4 linked regions of the Arabidopsis thaliana genome follow. The protein of the gene in region 2 purifies or fractionates together with the protein of the main gene of each other region. This does not show direct contact. Each region holds a gene or a part of one and is shown on either strand. Other genes may lie near its edges.

What was found.
Region 1: the proteins of AT2G22690 (region 2) and AT4G09310 fractionate together in Arabidopsis thaliana (co-fractionation; one large-scale study listed by BioGRID). This does not show direct contact.
Region 3: the proteins of AT2G22690 (region 2) and AT1G61150 fractionate together in Arabidopsis thaliana (co-fractionation; one large-scale study listed by BioGRID). This does not show direct contact.
Region 4: the proteins of AT2G22690 (region 2) and RanBPM fractionate together in Arabidopsis thaliana (co-fractionation; one large-scale study listed by BioGRID). This does not show direct contact.

Annotation. Positions count from the first base shown.
Region 1 is NC_003075.7:5,900,847-5,905,957, forward strand, and holds AT4G09310 (SPla/RYanodine receptor (SPRY) domain-containing protein), read left to right. Parts: upstream 1-1,966; 5' UTR 1,967-2,102; coding exon 2,103-2,362; intron 2,363-2,700; coding exon 2,701-2,859; intron 2,860-3,015; coding exon 3,016-3,151; intron 3,152-3,301; coding exon 3,302-3,378; intron 3,379-3,451; coding exon 3,452-3,593; intron 3,594-3,736; coding exon 3,737-3,805; intron 3,806-3,894; coding exon 3,895-3,951; intron 3,952-4,022; coding exon 4,023-4,109; intron 4,110-4,187; coding exon 4,188-4,394; 3' UTR 4,395-4,603; downstream 4,604-5,111.
Region 2 is NC_003071.7:9,649,170-9,653,567, forward strand, and holds AT2G22690 (zinc ion binding protein), read right to left. Parts: upstream 2,406-4,398; 5' UTR 2,176-2,405; exon of another isoform or gene 2,009-2,175; intron 1,812-2,008; 5' UTR 1,797-1,811; coding exon 651-1,796; 3' UTR 521-650; downstream 1-520.
Region 3 is NC_003070.9:22,540,681-22,546,205, reverse strand, and holds AT1G61150 (LisH and RanBPM domains containing protein), read right to left. Parts: upstream 3,710-5,525; 5' UTR 3,533-3,709; exon of another isoform or gene 3,344-3,532; 5' UTR 3,279-3,343; coding exon 3,225-3,278; intron 3,100-3,224; coding exon 2,940-3,099; exon of another isoform or gene 2,903-2,939; coding exon of another isoform or gene 2,839-2,902; coding exon 2,732-2,838; intron 2,633-2,731; coding exon 2,501-2,632; intron 2,370-2,500; coding exon 2,213-2,369; intron 1,973-2,212; coding exon 1,851-1,972; 3' UTR 1,188-1,850; coding exon of another isoform or gene 653-1,187; 3' UTR 545-652; downstream 1-544. Other genes in the region: AT1G61160 (retrotransposon gag), read left to right, coding at 1-14, 653-1,187.
Region 4 is NC_003070.9:13,050,612-13,056,837, forward strand, and holds RanBPM (SPla/RYanodine receptor (SPRY) domain-containing protein), read right to left. Parts: upstream 4,483-6,226; 5' UTR 4,312-4,482; coding exon 3,920-4,311; intron 3,485-3,919; coding exon 3,338-3,484; intron 3,196-3,337; coding exon 3,109-3,195; intron 3,015-3,108; coding exon 2,969-3,014; intron 2,627-2,968; coding exon 2,550-2,626; intron 2,427-2,549; coding exon 2,264-2,426; intron 2,113-2,263; coding exon 2,044-2,112; intron 1,957-2,043; coding exon 1,897-1,956; intron 1,525-1,896; coding exon 1,438-1,524; intron 1,301-1,437; coding exon 1,025-1,300; 3' UTR 546-1,024; downstream 1-545.

The sequences.
Region 1 (5,111 bases), on a different chromosome or scaffold from region 2:
CTTATTCATGACAATATTGGACCCCTAGGTAGTACTAATAACAAGAGAGGGTTTTTGTTTTCAAATGTTGGTTTACTGGTTAGGCTTTTATTCTCCACCATGGTATGGTTCCTATAAAGCTACATAAGAATTCATTTTGAAGTTTGTTTGGTGTGTGACCGAAGAACCAAAAAAAAAAAAACAGTTGCTCATTCTTTGTCTACTTATCTCACTATTCGGCAATGCATATACGTCCTAATCTTTGTTTTGCTTATCTTAGTTATTCTATCTCTCTCCCTTACCTAAAAAGCTGGCTTCAAAGGACTTGACGGATCGTTTATAAAACAGACTAGTCATAAACATAGATTTATATTCGAGATGGCTTCAAATACGAATCTTAAACTGTTTATAGTATATATAGTATCTAATAGCTGCGGGTGTTGTGAAAGGGAACTTAGTGTTGACCATGGTCATGGAGTTTAACCAAGAAGTTTGTTGAACCAAGGATTCACACAATAGATTTGTTTAGAGAGGGAAAACAAATCTAGTAATTTCTCTTCATTAGGTATTCTATCCAAGACTCGATTACAAGAGGGGTTCTAATCTCTTATGAAATACATTAGGGTTTTGCTCAAGAACAGAAAAAGAATTAAAGTTTTAAAAAGGTATAGCTGCATCCATGATGGATTGCCTACGTACCCTGTGAAGGGATCAAGCCATTCGTAGTTCTCAATAGGTATAAAGTTCTATGTTTCTTGTGAATATCCCAAGATCTCCCCCTTTTTGTGAAGTCCCTAAGGCACTTTATATAGGATCCTTAAACCGCCTCCCTAGCGATATTCTTCGGAAGATTCTTATTTATCCTTAGGTCGGTTCTAGAGGATAATCGTCCTAAGGATATTCTCCTTATTCTTCGGAGGTTTTGGGGAGATTTCCTGATTTCGACATTATCTTCAAAGATTCTCCTTTATCATTTCTGAAAGTCCCATAAAAGATCCCATTTTACCGGAAATGATCCTTGGAGAATGAATGGTTTTTACAAGTCTTTGCCTCGCGTGTTCTTCACGGCTCGGTGGTCGTTTGAGAGGTGGCTTCGGGGCAAACGGTATGTACCGGCTCGGGGCGCGCTTGATGACTGTCCATTAAGCTCAGTTGGCTGTCTCCCGAGCCGATATAGATGTGTCCCGCAGCGTTCTCACGATTGGCTCGGGCTGTGTTCATATGATTAACACCCGAGCCATTTTACAAACTCTCTTCGGGACGGTCGATCGAATAAGGTCCCGAGGTGCTTTGTTCTAGGCTAGGGGCCAATCATATGTTTAACCATGAGGTGATTGTTATTCTTAGACTGTTTGGCTCGGTCTTGCTTGTGGGGGAATCCGACCCCAACGAAGTTGTACCTTGACGGAAGAGAGCACGAATGGGATCGGTGCGGGTGTCTGGAAAGTGCCTGAAGAAGGTTCATGTGATGATCAAACTCTGGAATGCTACTGGGAGTACTGACTGTACCAAAACCTCCTCCAACAGTGCCACAGGGAACAAGCAAGCCCCATATCAATGTGTGATGAAGTTGAAGGAGCAGGGTCGTAAGGTGGACTTCCACAGTTAGAAGGAGGCTTGTGTGATGGAGGAGCTCCATATCCTTCGTCATAGTACTGATTTCCGGATCTGAATAAAGAAGCATGGCATCATTTGGAAGTAAGAGATCACATGAGAATACCATCCCTAGAACCGAGAGAGAAAAGTTTATGTTAATAAATTTTTATTGTATAATTGATATTGAAAAACATTAATAAACAGTGTTCACATAAGGTGTAAATTCACCCCAAAAGCACTCTAAAAAGTAAAAACCAAAAGAGAAAAAAACATAGAAATGGTTACTTAATAATATACCGAGTTTCATCTATTTACTTAATAATATACGGTTATTTGATTTACCGGTTAACTAAAAAATATCTGGTTTAATCGTATTTATTGTTGGCAAACACAACATTGGGCGCGAAGTGGTTTTTGATGCCCTTCAACAACATTTGGGGGTTTCATTTCAATCGCATTTCTAGGGTTTCTTTCTCTACGATTCAATAGATTCGGACGAATTGGGGGATTCTGACCAGAGAGAAGCTATGGAGGAAAACGAAGAGGAAGAAGAATTGCGGCCAACGGCGCTATACACGGTCGGTGGTTCAGACGAATTTACCTTTGTTTCTCCCGATGGGCTCTCCGGTCAATACACGGGCCCTGATCACGACGGCGTAGTTCTTCAGACTGAAAATCCGGCGCCGACTAACTGTCTTGCTTACTACTTCGAGGTTCATATCATGAATGCTGGTGAAAAAGGAGAGATCGCGATTGGTTTCTCCAAGGAACACATCTATAGCGAAGGGTATCGTTTTCTTTCCCTTTCAATTCGCATTTACCACTTATTGCGTGATTTGATACTCAATACAATCATTGATTCTGTTTGATTTGGTACCTGAGACTGAGAGAACAAATTGGGAAATAGGTTTAGATACAATGGTAGATCAGTAGTTCAAATCACTGTTTCAATGGTTTGGATTCGTTACTTGGAAATAGGTTATGTGATTTGCTGCTCAATTTGATTGTGTTGGCTGTTAGATCTGGTATCTTACAAGTTAATGGGAGATTTGCTTTGTTAGATGTTTTCACCTTTCAGTAATTAAGCATTCCAATTCACTGTTTCATGTTTCTCTGTAATGTTAGATATACTGTCAGAAGCTGTGCCTACATTGGTAACAGTGGACTCATATGCTCTCAAAATGGAGATGGTGATCGAACTGTTGCTAAAGCCAGTGACACCTATACAACAGGTGATTTAGTTGGTTGCGGTATAGACTCGGTTTCACAAGAATTCTTTTTCACGTAAGTAATAACTGTTTCCCTATCTGAACATGTTTCATTACAATTGGAAAAGTAGATATCAAGATACACAATTCATTTCTTCATGTCACAATGTTTTTGACATGTCCCTGCGTATGTTTTACTTGCTGACATCTATGACTACTTCTTTGATTATAGGAAAAATGGAACTATCGTAGGGACAATCCCCAGGCAATTTAGGCGTCCTGTATACCCGACAATTGTTTTGCATAGCCAAAACGAAGCTGTCACTGTCAATTTCGGCGGACAGATTGCGTTTTCTTTTGACTTTGAGGTAAGGTCGTACTTTTCTTTTCTTGCATAGTCGGAGAATAACTATTGAGTAAGCAGAATAATATGCATCTCTCACATATGTCCATATTTGCATGTATGTGGCATATTTTTCTGATACAATATTCTATTATCTGATCCACCTTTATTTCAGCATTTTGAAGAATCATTGAGGGTTAAAAAAGAAAGGGAAATTGAAAAGATTTCCATGTCTCGCAGCATTAGTCATGGGTAAAGTGTCTTTTCCTGCCTGTTCTTAATTGTAATTCTTGTTTCTGTTTGTGCTAAAGCTTCCTTTTTCCAGGCTTGTAAAAACCTACCTTCTTCGTTATGGATATGAAGATAGCTTTAGAGCTTTTAACCTGGCTGCAAGTCGTCATACTGTTATTGCACAAGAAAATAGTTTTGATGAGTATGAATTGCATCAAAGGAAAAAGCTCAGAGAGGTACTTTTCACTGCTATGGTTATCTTGCTGTAATTTTTTTTTTATTTTTTTTCTGTGAGGTACAAAATCAACCAAAAGCAAGCTACATTGCTACATCTTTTCTGTTTCATATCGAACTGATCCATGCATTCTGTTTGTTAAAGCTTATAATGACTGCTGAGATTGATGATGCTATTGCTGCACTCAAGGATAGATATCCCCAACTTATTGAGGTGGGCTGAGTAACTAGTTAATATATCGAGTGATTCACATTGTTAACATTCCTTGAACTATTTTAACAAGCTGCTTGTATCATATGCAGGGTGGATCAGAAGCTTATTTTCTTCTTATCTGTCAAAAGATTGTCGAATTAGTACGGGTATGTTCTTTATTCCTTGTATATTTGTTACACATATCCATGGTGTGTTTCTCTAACTAACTACAATGCAGAAAGGAGCAATAGCAGAGGCTAAGTCATTTGGAAATCAAGATTTTAAAGACTTTAGGGATTCAAGCCTACTAAAAAACCTTTTCGATGTATGTAGTGATTCTCTAACTGTTAGATTAGGTTTCTCATATTTGAGTCACTAATAGTTTTGTTTTTCTCTATTTCAGGATTGCTCTGCTTTGTTCGAGTGTGAAACTATAGAAGAATCAGGTGCTGCATATCTTCTAGGAGAAACACAGAAGAACATAGTAGCAGCTGCAGTCAGTGAAGCGATTCTATCTACAAATCCGGCCACCAGAGACCAGCAATCTGCTTCACTTGAGCGAGTGCTTAGACAGTTTGAAGCCACCTGCTCACTCTATGCTCGTGAATAAAATCTTGACTTTTTCTGTTTTTCTTTTTATCTTTTCTCTTGATAGAGTCATTGTGTAAGCTCAAATGTTCTAAAACTAGCGATCATACTTTAACTTGATTCACAACTATATACGAGATTATATTGGAGCTTGAAAATTTTTATTTACAAGTATTTATCTACAAATCGGCAAATATTGAGCTGCTCATACTAATTTTGATAATTTAATCGGCTACAAATTTTAATGACATGTTGTTGTTAGCTGTAAGTTAAAATATGAAATCGAAAGTCTTTTGTTTATTGCTTTCAACTTAAGCCTTTGTGATTACAAGCTATGTCTATTTATACATCTAGATTGATTTAACCTAGTGTCTTCTTGATTTGCATAGCTGTCACTTGGCTGTTATGTGGCGTCGTTGTCTTCACATGATTCAAGAGCCTCATAGCGATTCCTCGTCGTTACTTCCGTACTGCGTGGAGATAAGGACCGCTCTGCAACTTTTCTGCTTTTGTCCTTTGTTGTTGCAGGTTGTCGTTGCACTATGTTGGGCTTGGCTCTTGGATTGGGCACTTGTTTCGGATTGGGCTTTAATGGTTTTGAGCCCAATTCCAAAACTGTGTCGTTTGGAGCTGTTCTGTTGATACTCCCCCTCAAACTTGGAGGAGGTGGGAAATCGACACCAAGTTTGAATCGGAGAGATTCGAAAGGAGCCTTGGCGAGAGACTTTGTAAATATGTC
Region 2 (4,398 bases):
TCGCACGACTATATCTAAAAGTTCATATCATATCTAAACAAGTTCAAGATTTAGTATATACATGGACACGTATTAATTTATGTAGACCAAAAGCCAAAAAGTAGTTCACAAATTTATGTTAGTGGAGAGAGGAGAGTTTTGAAATGATCAAGAAGACAAAATGACCCTAAATACTTATCTTTAATTTAATAACTCTTTTATAATGTACTTTATCCATTAAGAATCTCAAAAAGCTCTCCAAACATAAAGAGTTTGATCCTTGGGGTTGTATTGTATTAAGTGAATGATATACCAAATTTTAAAGTGTTTTCTTTTCGAAGCACCAAAGTTTAACGTTTCCATTTTCGTATAGATAAAGATATTCGACAATCAATACTTAAAAAATGAAACATTGGTGAGTGAACGACGAATGATGGTCGTATGATGAATCGGTAAGTTCTGTCTTGGCAAGTGATCAAAGTTGGCGCGATAACGGATCTTCCTGTCATTCAAAATTCAAGACCACTAGACCAAAGACCATATGGGTATAAAAGGTTTTATTTCAAACTATAGTTTTTGTACACGAACCCAATTCAAGTTCATAAAAGAAAAGATAAGAAACATTTGTCTACTTTCTTTAGAAATGCTGCATAAGAAGTTGTAAAGCTAGTCTAAAAATATAACTGCTTACACTGCGAAGCATCAATATCTGTTGGACAATAAGGACACTTGAACGACCTTGAACCATTCCTCGACATTCTGTTGATAGACTGCTTGCAAAGGACATGACCGCAAGCCAATCTCATCGGCGGATTATCTTCGCTCGAGTGTTCTTTAGAGACAGGGCAGACAAAGACCGAGTAGAAGCGATACTCTTCAGAGAGTTCCACAGGTACAAGAAGTTGCTCCATTGTTTGCCACTCTTTTCTTTTCTCCGGCAGCACGTTCAAATACTTCAAAAACGTCGGTAAAACTTGTGAACCTGCTGCAACTGTTACACTTAAAGGACTCTCTGGTGATTCACCGAGTAGGATGCAGTATTGTCGGGTTAGTTCCTTGGCAGCGTTGGTCCACAATACAGGTGAGAGGAACTCTGAGTATGGGGATTTATTGAGGTTTCTGATCCATAAGAGAGAGCACATGAGTTTCTGTATCTCAGGGAAACAGCAGCTATCTGCTGAATACGTAGCAAAGTGTTTTCTCGCGTAGTTGATAGCTTCTTCGGAGGTTTTGTCTTTAGCTATCTCCAAAAAGTGAAGGCTGTGAAGTTTCAACTCAAGATCTGACTTTGCTTCCTTTAGCTTGTCAGAGTTTGAAGCTACCCATTTCAAAGCTGGTCCGAGATCCCGTTCTTTCATGGCTTCAAGTATCATATTCATTTCCATGAAAGCTTTAGTAACAGAAGATTCAGGCTTAACCTCACCAGTCTCGGAAATGAAACAGTCACCAACGTCGTACATGCCTTGCCTGTAGAAAAACTGAGCTAGTATCTGATGAACTGTATGAGTATCAAACTTAACGTTTCTGTAAGCCGTCGATATATCTGGATTCAGAGTTTTGTCAAGAGCTTTCGGGTATTTGGTAAGAACCCCATTTATTTCTTTCTGAGACGCTTCTAGTAGATTGATTGGAGCAATCTCCTCAAAAGTTTTCTTCAGATCAGCAACAACAGATTCATGATTATCCTCCTGTATCGTTTTCAATGCCTTGTCGATTTCTTGAGACATTTTGTCTACCACTTCATGCGTTTTGCTATAGCATAGTTTCTGCTTTTTGGTAACACGATCAAACGCATCTTTGACATTCTTTAGCTCCATTCTAAAGATAATCAACTACATGAAAGAAGGAACCAAGTATCAATAACCAAAAGAATCATATCCACAATAACCACTATAATCTCCATTAATCAACTCATTGTTCAGAGGAGTTCTTAAATCTAATCGATTCATTGCAATTCAAATTCTCATAGCATAGTAGCAGAATCAACGCATCAGATGCAACACCAAACATTTTTTCTGATTATTCATACCAAATGATCCAGGAATCGAAATATCAGACACACGGATTCGAATTTCAAACAAACCAGAGAATCTGACGATCGCGAATCAGAAATGAAGCGAAGAAGAATTCATATTAAGAAACCGTGGAGAGTCAGAGATACATAAAAGGCATCAAAGAATCTGGAAAAACATGAACCTGAAGAAGCGATGAAGATTATCGCCGGAAACGGAGAAAGATGGAATCGGAGGAAGAAGAGAAGATGAATTTGCAGATTTCTTCTTCAGTTTCTTTGAAATAATCAATCTCTCTGATCTTGAAGATGAATGAATCACAGCCGTTGGATTTGATCGGTTTCTTTTCAACAATGTAACTATTTGGGCCGAGAATATTTTTACGTGGGCCTAGTTAATTAAAATTAAATGCGACAGTTTGAGGTGTCCTCTCCAAGTTAACGAAATGTATATATGAAGAAGCTAGGTCTCTCGGCTCTCGCTAGGGGTTTCTAGGTTTATAACGTATCAACAAACAAGGATTCATTATCTCCGACTCCCAAATCAAATGATCTCATCATGGAGATATTGTCGAGATTACCTTTAAAGTCATTAGCGAGGTTTCATTGTGTGTCGAAGCTATGGGCATCAATGTTTGGTAGTCCATATTTCAAGAACTTGTTCTTGACCAGGTCATCGGCTAAGCCGCGCCTCTTATTCGCCTTAGTTGAGAAAGGCGACGTTAAAGAAGAATCATGTGGTGTGTGGAGCTTTTTCTCGTCGCTTCAGCTTGATAATTTATATGAGGAATCGTCGTCCACTCTTGTAGCAGCTGCCGAATTTCATGGGAAATTCTCTCCAAACAATCATTATGTTAACCTAAAAAAAAGTCACGTGGCTACGCCTCTGGTTTAGTCTATTTCCATGGTAGTTAATACCAGGGTGGACTTCTGATATGTAACCCCATCACAAGACATCATGCAATTTTACCGAAGCTCTATAGTTATAGACTGGCATATAGCTTTTTCGGATTTGAAGGGGACGTGGGATGTTTGATGTTTTAAACCCGTTTTGTGTAGGTAACAAAACTAGCATCACAAGATTATACCAACTTGACCAAAGGTCTGTTTAGTGATTTTGTAATGGACGTTAGGCCATCTCCAACGCTGGGCTCTGTTGAAATTTTGCAGAGTCTCTGTTGATTATTTTGATTAAAATTTAATCAAACTGAAAGAAAAACTAGAGAAGCGTTTCTGTGGAGAGAGTTTATGAGGGAATGAGAGAGGCGAACATGTGGCATACATTCATTGGTTATCTTCTTTAAACAAAAGAAAAAAATAAAAATGATTGATTTCATTTTCTTTGTTTTGCCCGAACAAATTCTTTTCTCTCTCTCCTTCTCTTTCTCTTCGCGACATTGACAAAAGAAAAATTGCTCAATCTTTGAAAAACCAGAATAATTGACGCCGGTGATTGTTTGTATTTCGCTGTGTTATCTTAGGCTTTCAACGGTGTTCACATCGGCGGAAGTTTGCTGAAATCGAAAAATAGCAAATTGGATTCGGAGAGTTATCGCCGACGCCTTCCCCAATTTAGGTATGAATCAATTCTAGTCTTTATTACGTGATTAGATGTTGTATTTGGTGGTTTAATCAAAAAAATTAGGGTTTTTGAATTGAAGAAAATTTAGGGTTCTTTTTTTAAAATTAGGGTTCTTCGTTTGTAGCAAGATTAGGGTGTTTTTTGATATATCTTGAAGCATTTTCTATAGTTTTGTATGGTCATAGATCGTTTTGGAGACATGTTGTATAGATTTATATGGTCATAGATCGTTCGATAGTTTGATTTTCTTTTTAATGTATATGTAGATGTGATTGATTGGGTTTAGTAAATGTAAACTTTGTTGTTTAATATCTGTTTATGTGATTGAATCAAATTGTAAAGTTAACTGTAAATGCTAATTGTTGTTTTTTTCTCTATGCTTTTGGTGAGTGTCAATGGCGGATGAGCAAGTGGTTGTGAGTTAAGGAGAAACTGTAAAGGAATTCGTCTATGCACTTCAATGAAGGTAAATATGTACTTGATTGATTGTTATATAGCATTGATTGTTATTTTTTTTGTGGATAGACGTTACATAGCTTTTCACTGTGATAAATGGTTTTTGACAAATGATAAAGCTTTTGATAGTGATAAATGTGAGCTTTAGACAATGATAAATGTTTGCTTGAAGTTGATTTCAACTAATAACCATAATAATGGCTTGAAGTTGATTACGACTAATAACCATAACTTTTGCTTTTAAAAATCTTTTTGCCTTAACTGAAATTATTAATGTCGAAGCAGTTTATATATAACCCAAACATCCAAAGCTACTAACTTAAACCATTCTATTCCTTAAACACATAGCTTCTCAGTTAACTTTTCTCTT
Region 3 (5,525 bases), on a different chromosome or scaffold from region 2:
AGTAATATCAATTTGTAAGTTCCTTAGATATTCTCAATTTTCTATTATCTATTTCACAATATCTATTAATGATTTTGATAAAATATATTAAGAAACTATATTATTTTCAATCTTTTAGCTTTCAGATTAGTTTGTTAGATTTTTTTTTTCTGTAATGATAAAGCATGAAATGAAAATCTTGTAAAGGATCATGATCAAAAGGTCTTTGCTCATTTTATATCAAATTGAATCAATTTTATTTTTGCTTAAAATATTTAAAGTTCAATAAAAATAGGTGAAGATAGATCTTTTTCAGACAAAATAAAATAAGATATAAATCTCTTTTCCACTATTCGACATTACGATTGCTTTATTCTATTTGATCCATTTCGAGTCATCATTTTTATACTCGAGTTTCATATAAATTATGTTTTCGCAAAATTCAGTTTTAATTTTGTTGAATTATAATGATAATTTATACTCCCTCAAATCCATAATATTTGATAATTTGTTAGAATTTTGATGTAAAGTTTTTTATTTAAATATATTAGATTTAGCATAGTCATGATTTTCTAAGATAATAAATTGTTTTTCTAACTGAAAACTATCCTTGTTTTCATATTTTGTAACAAATTATTAAATGTATAAAACTCGATGAATTATTGACCCGCAGGCAGACCAGGTCGATCAAGACATCTGGTGAACCAAAAAACTTTGAGCTCACAGGGGTAGTTGGGGAGGAGGATCAGCCACCCCGAGAAGCTTCTGAGCGCGGAGCCTTCGATGAGTCTAAGCTGGTTGACGTCAACATTGCCTTGAGCTGGGAAGCCTTTGAGGTGAAGCAAGGAACAGAGACAGTGCGTGAGTATTATAACGAGTTCCTTAAGAAGGTCAAGAACCTCGGAAGAGAGTTGGAGGAAGAGCAGCTGGCGTGTCTGTTCCAGGAAGGGCTACGCGAGGAGTTGCAGGAAGGGGTATGTGCAGCGAACTGCGGATGGATCCTTAATTATGTGTCAGATGTAGTTGATGAAGCTGAGAAGGTAGAGGCCAAACTTAGAAGCATCAAGGAAAAGGTGCCGCTCGTGTCTGAGGAGTTTGCAGATGTTGACTGCGGACAAAGCAATTTGGGCCGACCCGCATCCGAAGATGAGGTGGAGAGCAAACCCTCCAAATCCTATGATCCGGAAGACCATATCATGCAAGATTGAGATGGCTAGAGTCAACATAAGGTCTTGAGTCTTGTGGATTATGTTTCCTATTTTATATATCAAAAAGTTGCTATTACTACTTCCCTTTATTTACTTCGTACCATGTCATGCAAGATTCAAAGCTGTGTCAGTACCAAAATAATATTTTGCGAAGAAGAAGAAAAATCAAATGATGTTTCAGTACGGTTCGCAGAGATTCTCCATTTCGACGGTAACAGCACTCAATTCAATAGGTCATGTTGCTTTCTAGGTAAGTAGGAACCGTGCCAAGTTGATTCATTGATTCATGTAACTATACATGGGATGAATAAGCCATCTCTCTTGTTTACAATTCGAACCTTTTGGAACAAAAATATTCCTCAAAACAAACACAAAGATCCAAACAAAGTCGATAACTTCATTCAAATCAAATGCACGTATGCAATGAGTCATCAAATATGTTGATAATAAGAACATTTGACTAGAGTAATTCATTGCCTACAAAAGCTTATGTTCCCCTCCCCATATCCTAACGATTGCGGGTCCAACAAATCCCGATGCAGAAGAAAAGGAAAAGCAGAAAGCATATGAATTGTAAGTTATTGAGATTGACGGGAAGAGAAGAGAGCACCATTCATTGTTCCTTTTTGCTACTGATTTCCAATGGCTGAAAGAAGTACGGAATCATTCTGACGGGTCTTCGAGCTTACCGGTAGACAAATCATTAATGTGCGGATACACTGCTTTCTCGTCCAGTTGAGTTTGAGCCCAAATCAACATCTTCAACAAGCTTGGAAGTTTAGGATCTGTTTGTTCACAAACATTGAGTTGCTACATTAACCATGGAGGAAAATGGAAAGTTTCAAGAAGAACTTGGATGATACATGTTGTGGGTGAAGTAATGAATGAAAAATTTTACTTGTTATGTAGAGAAGAGTTGCATATACTTTGAATCTTAAGATTGATAATGAATGATGCTCGAGATTATAATGGTATTTTGTGGCTACTAAAAGACAACCAGTATAACATCAAAATTCAAAAGCTACCTTTTTCGTGGCTCTGGCTTGTAAGAATCGCTGCATTTACTTCACTTGCTGTCTTAAGACGGTGGGAAAGATCAAGAAGCTCTTTAACCGGGCAGGTAGAGGCATCGTCAAAAACAAGTAGGGCTACAGTTTTTTCCAATTCTTCCAGAAACGCTTGCTGCAGAGAGATATAACAGACTGTATGAATGAAGTTTCAGCAACAACAGATATTACACACAGTCAATGAGCAATACACATGGAAAACACCATCTTTAACGACAGAAATCAAAGTGAAATACAAAGACTTACGTTTTCTTCGCCACGTGGTGCAAGTTCCTCCTGAGCAAACTCTAAGGCCTCTTCTGTCTTCCCTTGTCGAATTAATTCTATCAACCTTTGCTGCTGAAGATGAAAAAAGAGCTCCGGATTCGTGTCTAGTATCTGCAAGCATGGGTTCAAAGAAGAATCAGATTTTGCTTCTTTATTACATCAGAAAAGTGAATGACTACTCTCCACACAAGATATGAAGAAGCATTGTACCTCAGGATTCAAATCATTAACTTTTTCAATCGCATCCTCGACATTTCCGTTTTGAACAGCCTTTTTAACAGCCATTCGATCAGTAATGGTCGCAAGATCTATCTCTGCTGTTTCTCGATAAGGAAGTTCAAAAGGAGTAGATAAGCTAAACATCAAACACACCAATTCCATAAACAAAAACTCAAAACCAGAATCAGAAAAAGGATACGTTTGGTTCCAGACTCCCTTTGGAATTTCTCAGCAGCTTCAACATATCCTTCAGTCACAAGAAAATTCATCACCAAAGTATTCATATCTTCTTTCCTAAGCTTCACAGCATTTAGTTTCTTCTCCCATTCTTCACGTGTGATCATTTTCTTCGAAGTAGCCTGCGACAAGCCACGATTAAAACTAGGTCACACAACGTGCATAAAGATTAAAGTTTTCCAAAAACCCATCATCAAGTTGTATCAAATAACACAAAGAACAGACTCATAAGAGGAGTCAAAATTACCATATCTTCGTCGTCTTCTTCAAGCTGATTGATAAAAATACGAAACAGTGACATTAGAACGCCAGTGAGGCTCTCATATCTTGAAATCTAATCTAATCCACTCAATACGAAATTAATACCTGTTCGAGCAACACTCCGATCAGAGCTATTTCCAAAAGAAATTGACTTTGTGATCAGATAGTGATACAAAGTAATTTAGGGCTTTAGTCAAAATTCAAGCTTTAATCTCAAAACAGCACAGGAGTGGTAGTTCTAAGAAAGAGAGAGTGTGCGACTATTTTCCTCAAAAATTGAATATAACGATGTACCTGGAGAAGTGGAGAATCTGGGGAAGATTATCTGGGAACGATTCTTGCAAATAATCCGGAGATTTGGCGATCGATTTGCTTCTAGATTGCTTGCGAAAGTCTCTTCCCTAAATTTACAATCTGATAAAACAAAAAAAAGTTGGAGGTTTTCGATAGAGAAGAAGAGATCGGGTTTAAATTATTAGGATGTTGACGAACCGTCGATGAATAATCCGGTTTAAATTATTAAGGGAACCGGTTTGTTTTTGGATTTGGTTCTTTATATACCGGATAGTATTATGTAACTCATTTCCAAATGATTTTAATACCCAAAGATTTTTAAACTATTTTACCTTTGAAGAACAAAATTTCGATTTAAAATCATAATTTTTTTTTATTTTTTTTTTTAAATCTTGGAGGTTGTGGGTCAAAGTCCGTAATCCCCCAGGCCTGAAACCACAGCATAAAATATTAGTTTCGTCCCAAGCGTCACTCGAACCGGCGACCTCTAAGCTTTGCATAAGGTCTTTACCAATTGAGCTAACGACACTTGGTTAAAATCATAATTAAATAAGACTGATGTTAAAAATCTCTATATTATTTGGAATTTGATACACAATTTAAAACCAATAACTGATACTCTATTATACTCTATTAAAATCAACTATTAGGTAACAAATATGTGACATAAACATTTTGCAGTCCGATGCAAAATATATCTTTCAATCTCAACAATATGTTTTTTCTTGGTCAACAATCTAACAATATGTTTAATTGCATCTTCAAACTAAAGTCCCAAAACATGTTTTGTTCTTTGCACATGGTTGTTTGTGTGGAACCACAATAAGACAAAGGATCGATTGCAGAATTTGAGGTCTTCTAGCTAGTTGACCGACTAAGAATCAATGGACCACTTATTCTTTAATATTATTTTTCCCAACTGGTTTGGAAGGACTTAGTGAAGAAGTTACACTAAAACTTCTCGAGTCAATCCTCATATGGTTTCTTTTGGCAATTCCTATCTCTGCAAAATCAAAGGCTCTTCATATCAATTAATATGGCAAGCAACTACTTTGAGACATGGCAAGAACGGAATTGTTGATCACATAATAAGCAAGCTCTTTCTCATCAAACTACCTACAAAGTTTTGCGCTCTACAAGATATTTGATCAATCATAAAAATGGTGATCTCGTATAATACTAGTCTTCTTTTAGGGCTAACAAATGATTCAGAAGATTACAAATGTGCTTTGTAGAAATTAGCAATATAGTGCTTTGTAGAATTTTATGACCACAAGATTGGTAAGATCATTTAGTCAAATATATGTTTTATCTCTTCTTATTGATTGAGATGATTATTTTTCTAATGAGTCGATCCACATGTCTAATTCCAATTGATCTTTGTGATTTAGTTTCATATTTGTTTTCTTTAACATATGAAATTTTTTTGTTAGTGTAGAAAATCTAATTTTCACACAATTAAAAATAATTTTTACAATAAATTATGATTAGCAAACACTTCAAAAAAATCTCCATTACTTAAACACTTCAGTTTCCTACTACTAATTAAAGTTGTTTCCTTTTGTTTAAATTGTGATTTTGCTTTAACAATAAAGATGACGGCGCATAAAATATAATTATATATAATCATGCATTATTAAATAATGAAAAAATGGAAAAAAATGAAAGAAAAAGAAAAACAAATGTTCGACCGTTCCTTATTTAAAGCCGGAAGTCCCATAGCCTTGTGGTGTTTACTTTTTCCAATTCGGAGAAAGCCAAAAGAGAGAACAAGGCAATAAAAAGAAGCCACCGTCGCTACAAAAAGTCGCGATTTTTATTTTCTCTATCCCAACTGCTCTCTACCTTTCCTCGAAAATTCCTTCAAAACCCAATTCTCAAGCCTTCTTCTTCGTCGTACCTGAAAATTCTACAATCTCTGGATCTACGCGTCTACTTCTGAATTTCGATTTGGGTTTCCCGGGAGCTGAAATTCCGTGACTTTTGGGTTTTC
Region 4 (6,226 bases), on a different chromosome or scaffold from region 2:
ATCTAAAATTCACATGAAATATTTCTTTCAAACAATTGCGTGTAGTAAAAAAAAAAGCGAAAGGCAGCAACAACTATGAACGTACCAGAGAGTTTAGACACTCAACAGGTAAGGAGACAAAAGCTGGAATCAAACAGGTGACAGCTTTAGTCGATGGATTTCTGCAATCAATTGTTTGCTCAAGTTATTGCCTCCTATAGTCGTTGAGTATCTACACCCTCTGATATATTTGAGGTTATTGCCACCTTCAACCAAAGCATGAGAAAAATATATATGTTCAACACTCGGTATGTTTAACTATTTATAGCCAAACTTTCATTTTTTCTTGCTTTCGCATCCGATGTGGGACTCATTGCCTTTTTTCACGTGGGTTTTTAATCACAAAAGCATTGGATGAAGCTAAATATGATCAATATAGACTCTATTTACATTAGTTATTGGGCTTTTATTGGATAGGTCAAATTTCATATTTACTATTATTTTGAAAATGTGAAAATTGTAATTATAATTATTAAATTTACATTTTAAACAAGAATTTGTTTTTTCTCGATTGTTTAAAACTGATTATAATTTACAATAATATTTATTTACCATCATAACATTTATACATCGTCACATGAAATTATGAAAAGAAAATAAAAAATTAAAGATTCTCTTCATAAAAATTTCTGTTTACCATAAAATCTCTTTTTGAGAATAATTTCAGGTAACCCCAAGCGAACAAAAGTTACAAAACCCGAAAGATACCGCTAAACCCGAACACCCCCACCGCTAATTCAGTTTTTCCATTTCTGATTTGAATGTTGAAAATCTTAATTTGAATCATCTAAACTTTAAAGAACCAATAACAGTGGAAGTCCCAGTGTCTTAACGTCGAACCCATTTTTCTAACTTTCTCCTTTACATAATGGAAAGTTCAACATAATATCACACAAGTAATGAACAAAAGCCACTTATGATGATAACGACCATAGAAAAACAGAGTTTTCAAAATATATGCGCGGCTAAGCCATTTTCATCTTCTTTATCTGTTGTTGTTAAGAACATGTCGAAGCCGGAATGTTTCACCTTGGTCTCCATTCAGTGACCGCCTTTCTAAACAGCACACGGTTAACTGTCTTAGCAGTTTCTCTAGATGGGATTGCAAGTGACAGCTTCTCTGCACATCTTTCTTATTTGGATTTGTTGATAGTATTGCTGCATTCACCGCATCAGCCACTAATTCCCTCTGTGAGTCTTCTAGGAAATACCAGACCGATGATTCCTCAGGCTTTTCATACGCGAGCAAAGCAAAGCAGTCCTGAATAATCAACAAGAAAATAGAGTTCCTAAGCGAAGCAGCAACATATATAGTCTCTGTATCTGAACGCAATACATACATATTCTCAGAAACCAGATCTTGCTTGAAAGAAAAAGGAGTAAAGGAGACATTGGTACCTCGACTATATCTTGAAATCCAGTTAACCCAACAAATTTAGCTAACTCGAGTCTGCCATAGTTCACACCTTCTTCAAGTTTTCCAACCTGTTTATGCCATGTTTTTCCAAAACCATATAGTTAGAGAAATAGCCCCATCTGCATAGATGTGAAAGTGAACAAAGAAGGAATAATCCAGAGAACTAACTTAAGGTGATATTTATACACGGTGACAAGGTTCCATGCATCTATGTAACATGGTTTCCAGTGTGTTATAGGTTCTGTGCATTTTTTCACTAGTTTATGGTTTAACACCAAAGTCCATCACACAGTTCAAGCAGCTAATTTTTGTATGAGACACCAAATCCATCAAAAGCTTCCTTAATTACAAAAATTTTATTCTTATATGCACAGAGAGAGAATATTTCTGACAAGTATTAAGAACACGAAATTTAGATGGTTAAGGAATGAAGAGCATACCCGTACTAATTCAATAAACTTTTGACAGTGAAGGAGGAAGCAAACTACAGATTTATCGTCCTGCAGTAGGTACAGCCGGGTAAGACTTCGTATCACAATCCTGTGAAGTGGATCATCTCAACAATATGATAAGAAATCTCAGTTCACCTGTACAATTTGGGGATACAACTTTTGGAGTTCCGCCAAAGCAGTATCAATCTCACCATTCCTAACAAGCTACACCCAATAAAGAATGAATCAGTCCAAATTCACTAACGAAGCAGTAATTTAGTATGGGTTTGAATAGGAACCAAAAAAAGCCAGATACAAGCCTAATAAAGTTAGAAGATAACATGTCTTATATGTTAAACCGTAGCAAGTTCAATACCTGTCTAAGATTCTTTCTCTGTTTCAAAGCATAGGATGAATCATCCTCGTCAATAGCATTTTCTTGATCTATATGAATTGGAGGAACTGTATTTTTAGTAGCAAGGTTGAAAGCATCGAGTGTCTCCTCATACCCATAGTGTAGCAGGTAGGTCTTGACAAGCCTAATGATAAAGAAAACAAAATTATAGATAAAGCAGAAAGCTAGTCCAGAAGGGAAACCAAGTATTGCAATTCAAAGTTAAAAAAGTACATGATCTGTTACTGCTGGGAAGGAGTGTACTCACCCATAACCAATGTTTGGAGGTATGGATATTTTTTCAATAGCCAATTGTTGCTTATTCCTCTCTGATGCTTCATATCCCTAATAATACAGAAAGAGGGAAACAGCCCTCGTCAATTACTTAATTTCAAACATATATGTAATGGAAAGAATTTTTATGCCCTACTTCAGTGTTTAAAGATTATAACTTGAGTGCCCAAGAGTTTGAGGTTTGATTACACAGGAACAGTAAAATAGCAAATGTGAGAGCAATGTCTACAAAGAGAACCACTGCTATAGATTCGGTAACCCCAGTACCAAGAACGGACATGAGGCATACCTATTATGTGATTTCAATAGCAGTAGTCCTGGTTACACCATCCTTACTTTAGTATAAAGCTATGAGACCTAATTAACCACGTTTGAAAGGATTTTTCCTCTTACCTTAATATCGAAAGCAAATTTCTTCTTCCCAAAATTGACTAATACCCTGCCAAAATTTCAGAAAAATATGCTTTGTGTAAGAGAGAGTGAGATACATGATGGCAATGGTATTGATCTTTAAAGAGAGAGTGAGAACATACTCCTCATTTTGGCTATGTACAGCTACAGTAGGGAATAGATGACCTCTTATGTCCTTGGGGATTTTCCCAACAATAGTTCCGTTTTTACTGGCACCAACAAAAATAATCAAAAATGTCATCAGCTTTAACAGACAAAGAGTAACAGGAAAATGAATGAATCATGAATTCAACTCACAGTAGTAATGAACTTATTTAAGTACCAAAAAACATGAAACAGTTTCTTTCTTACGTGAAAAAGAACTCCTGAGAAGCGTAGTTTATACCACCGCCAACTGCATCATCTTTTGTAAACTTTGGACCAAAAGGTTCACCTTTTCCCTGTCCACGATATAGGTATCCATCATCCCCATGATATCCACAGCTGTTCACTTCCCATCTACCATTACAAAAGAAAACTATAACCTCAAATTCAAGTATTAGGCAGATAAAGCTTCTTTCAAAGGCACTATCATCCATATTTGTAAACTCAAGAACCTAGCTTTCAAATAAACCACAAAGCAATGTCCTTCGAATTTCAGATTCTTCCCTAAACCACTTCTACACAACTGAACTCACCAGAAAGAACACACACAACCTAATCCAAGAAGCTAAATCTCTATAATAACTAAACCACAACTTGGATCCCAAAACCATACCACAAACCTCAATTTCTAAAATAAACCATACCTTAAACACAACAATGATCAAGCTACAAGCTAAAACTATACTTCTTGAACTAAATCCTTCAAATTCAGATTCTTCCCTAAACAACTTCAACACACAATGATCAACAAAGATTGGATCCAAAATCCAAAGATAAAGAAAACAATACCCAGGTTGTCTACGCATTTTGAAGCTTTCCTTAGTAAAACCAATAGCAATTTGTCCTTTAATACCAGAATCTTTAACAAAAATCTCAAAGTAGTAAGTAAGACACTTGATCGGAGCAGGTTTATTAGCTTGAACAACACCAACATCGTGACCATGTAGATTCGTATTCGTGTACTTCACGGAAAGCTTATCAGGAGAAACCACAAGAAATCCGCCGGCGCTATTGATCGTATTCAACTCCGTCGGTAATTCTTCTCCTTCGTCTTCCTTCGCATCTCGTTTAGCGGAGAGACGAATCTTGTCTAAGAAGTTTAAGTTCAGATCTTGACCGTTCTCGCCGTTGTTGGTTGTATCGCCGTTGGCGGAATTCGCCGGTGGTGGTGAAGAGTTCATTGGTTTTGGTTCCGATTAGAGAAAACCCTAGAAATTTTGAGATTAGGCTCTTCAGAGGTTTTTGGAGTCTATAAGAAGAAGAACACTGAATTAGAGAATTTGTTGAGATTTCTTCTTCTCTTTGATTTATTTTTTGATCCGTTGTTTATTTTTGTGACCCGCTAGTTTCGGTATTTGTTAGACTTATTTTTTTCTTATATATATTTCTCTATATAAATTTCATAAATAATATTTAGTTATATACCAATTAGTTGGCTGTTTCAATTCATAAAAAAACACAAACTTTTTTATAAAATGTAAAATTAATCCATGTTTTATCAAATTTAATTCATACACACTTTTAAAATGTAAAATCAAATCCATGTTTTTATCAAATGTGATTCATAAAGACTTTTAATATCAAAAGTGGTTTTATTACCAAAACAAAACTTAAAATAAAAAATATTTCAAAAACAAAAGAGAAAAAACAAAAGTTTCATGGCACACTTGATTTTTCCGATCTTGAACCTTCTACTCTCGAACTACTTGTAGTCTTTCGAGTATCTCCATGGTTAAACTCATTGGTATCTTCTGTGGTACCTACAATTTACAATGAAATTTAATTAATATAATTCAATTACCTATAAAGCTTTCAATTTAAAACTCTTACCTTCATAGTCAACAAACTTGCGTAGCCAATTGCGAGTACAAAGCAAACATGAACATTTTCTGGAAGCAAGCGATTTCTATATGGAGTCAAAACCCTCGATCCAATGCTAAAAGCTGAGTTTGATGCTACTTTAGTAATAGGAATGCTAAGGACATCGCATGTCATAGAAGCTAAACCGCCAAATCGATTCTGATTATCTTTCCAATAGCTTAAGACATCCAAATTTCGAAAAAGACTTTCACTCTCATCCAAATAAATATCCAAGTGTGTCTTTGTGTTGTTCACACCGTCTTCAATACTTCTTTCTAGTTCAAATAGATCTTATGTTACAAAAACTCACATTAAGTTAATTCACCAAGTTCCAACTTTATACAATATCATCAAATTCTTCTCGAGCCCTTTAATTTTTAACTTATAAGTAGTAGAATTTACTTTCTTTTAAGCTACTTCAAGCATCTTCAATTTAAGCTTCGGATCCAAAACTGCTCTCATAGCCAAAATGAGACTATAATCTTCCCAATACTCGGAAAATTTACCATGCATCTCTTGAGCCACTTGCTCAACAACATCATCATCACAAATAGCATACTTCTTCAGCAACAACTCAATCCTCCATATTTGTGTAAAGTATACATTGGATGTGGGATACTTAGAGCCTAAAAAGTAAGTGATAATAACACTAAAAGGTTTCAATAGATCAAAAATTTATCATTGGTATCAAAAGCTTTCATGCTAACAAACGCTTCTCTAAACTTCAACGCTCTAGCAAGCATTTCATCTTTCTACATGCCATGTTCATATTCCGAACAAAAAAATTGCATTCAAACGATTAAAAGAAAGAAAAAAAATTGGTATGCCCGAATTTTTTGTTGAATAATTACAAACTTTATTTTTGCATTCGAACTTATTTTTCCCCAAAATTGCTAAATCAAAGAAGCATCAGAACAATGAAGTTTATATGTGATATGTTTGTCTTTTGTTTTGATTGAATTTCTTCTTCATTCTTTTTTTGCATTATTGAAAATTATCAAACATTATTTCAATTTTAGAGGTTTGAAAATCTAAAGGTAAACTAGATAAGGATCCACGATGTGCAGCGTGAGGAAATATTTGTGGCAATTTTGGTTTGATAGTTTACATCATAAATCATAATCATAATATTTTCTATTTAATAAAATTTATTTTGTAATTTTCTGTATTTAATTTATTGTGTCATACTCCAATATAATTCCGCAATTGGATCAGTAAATTCGATAATCCTACGCT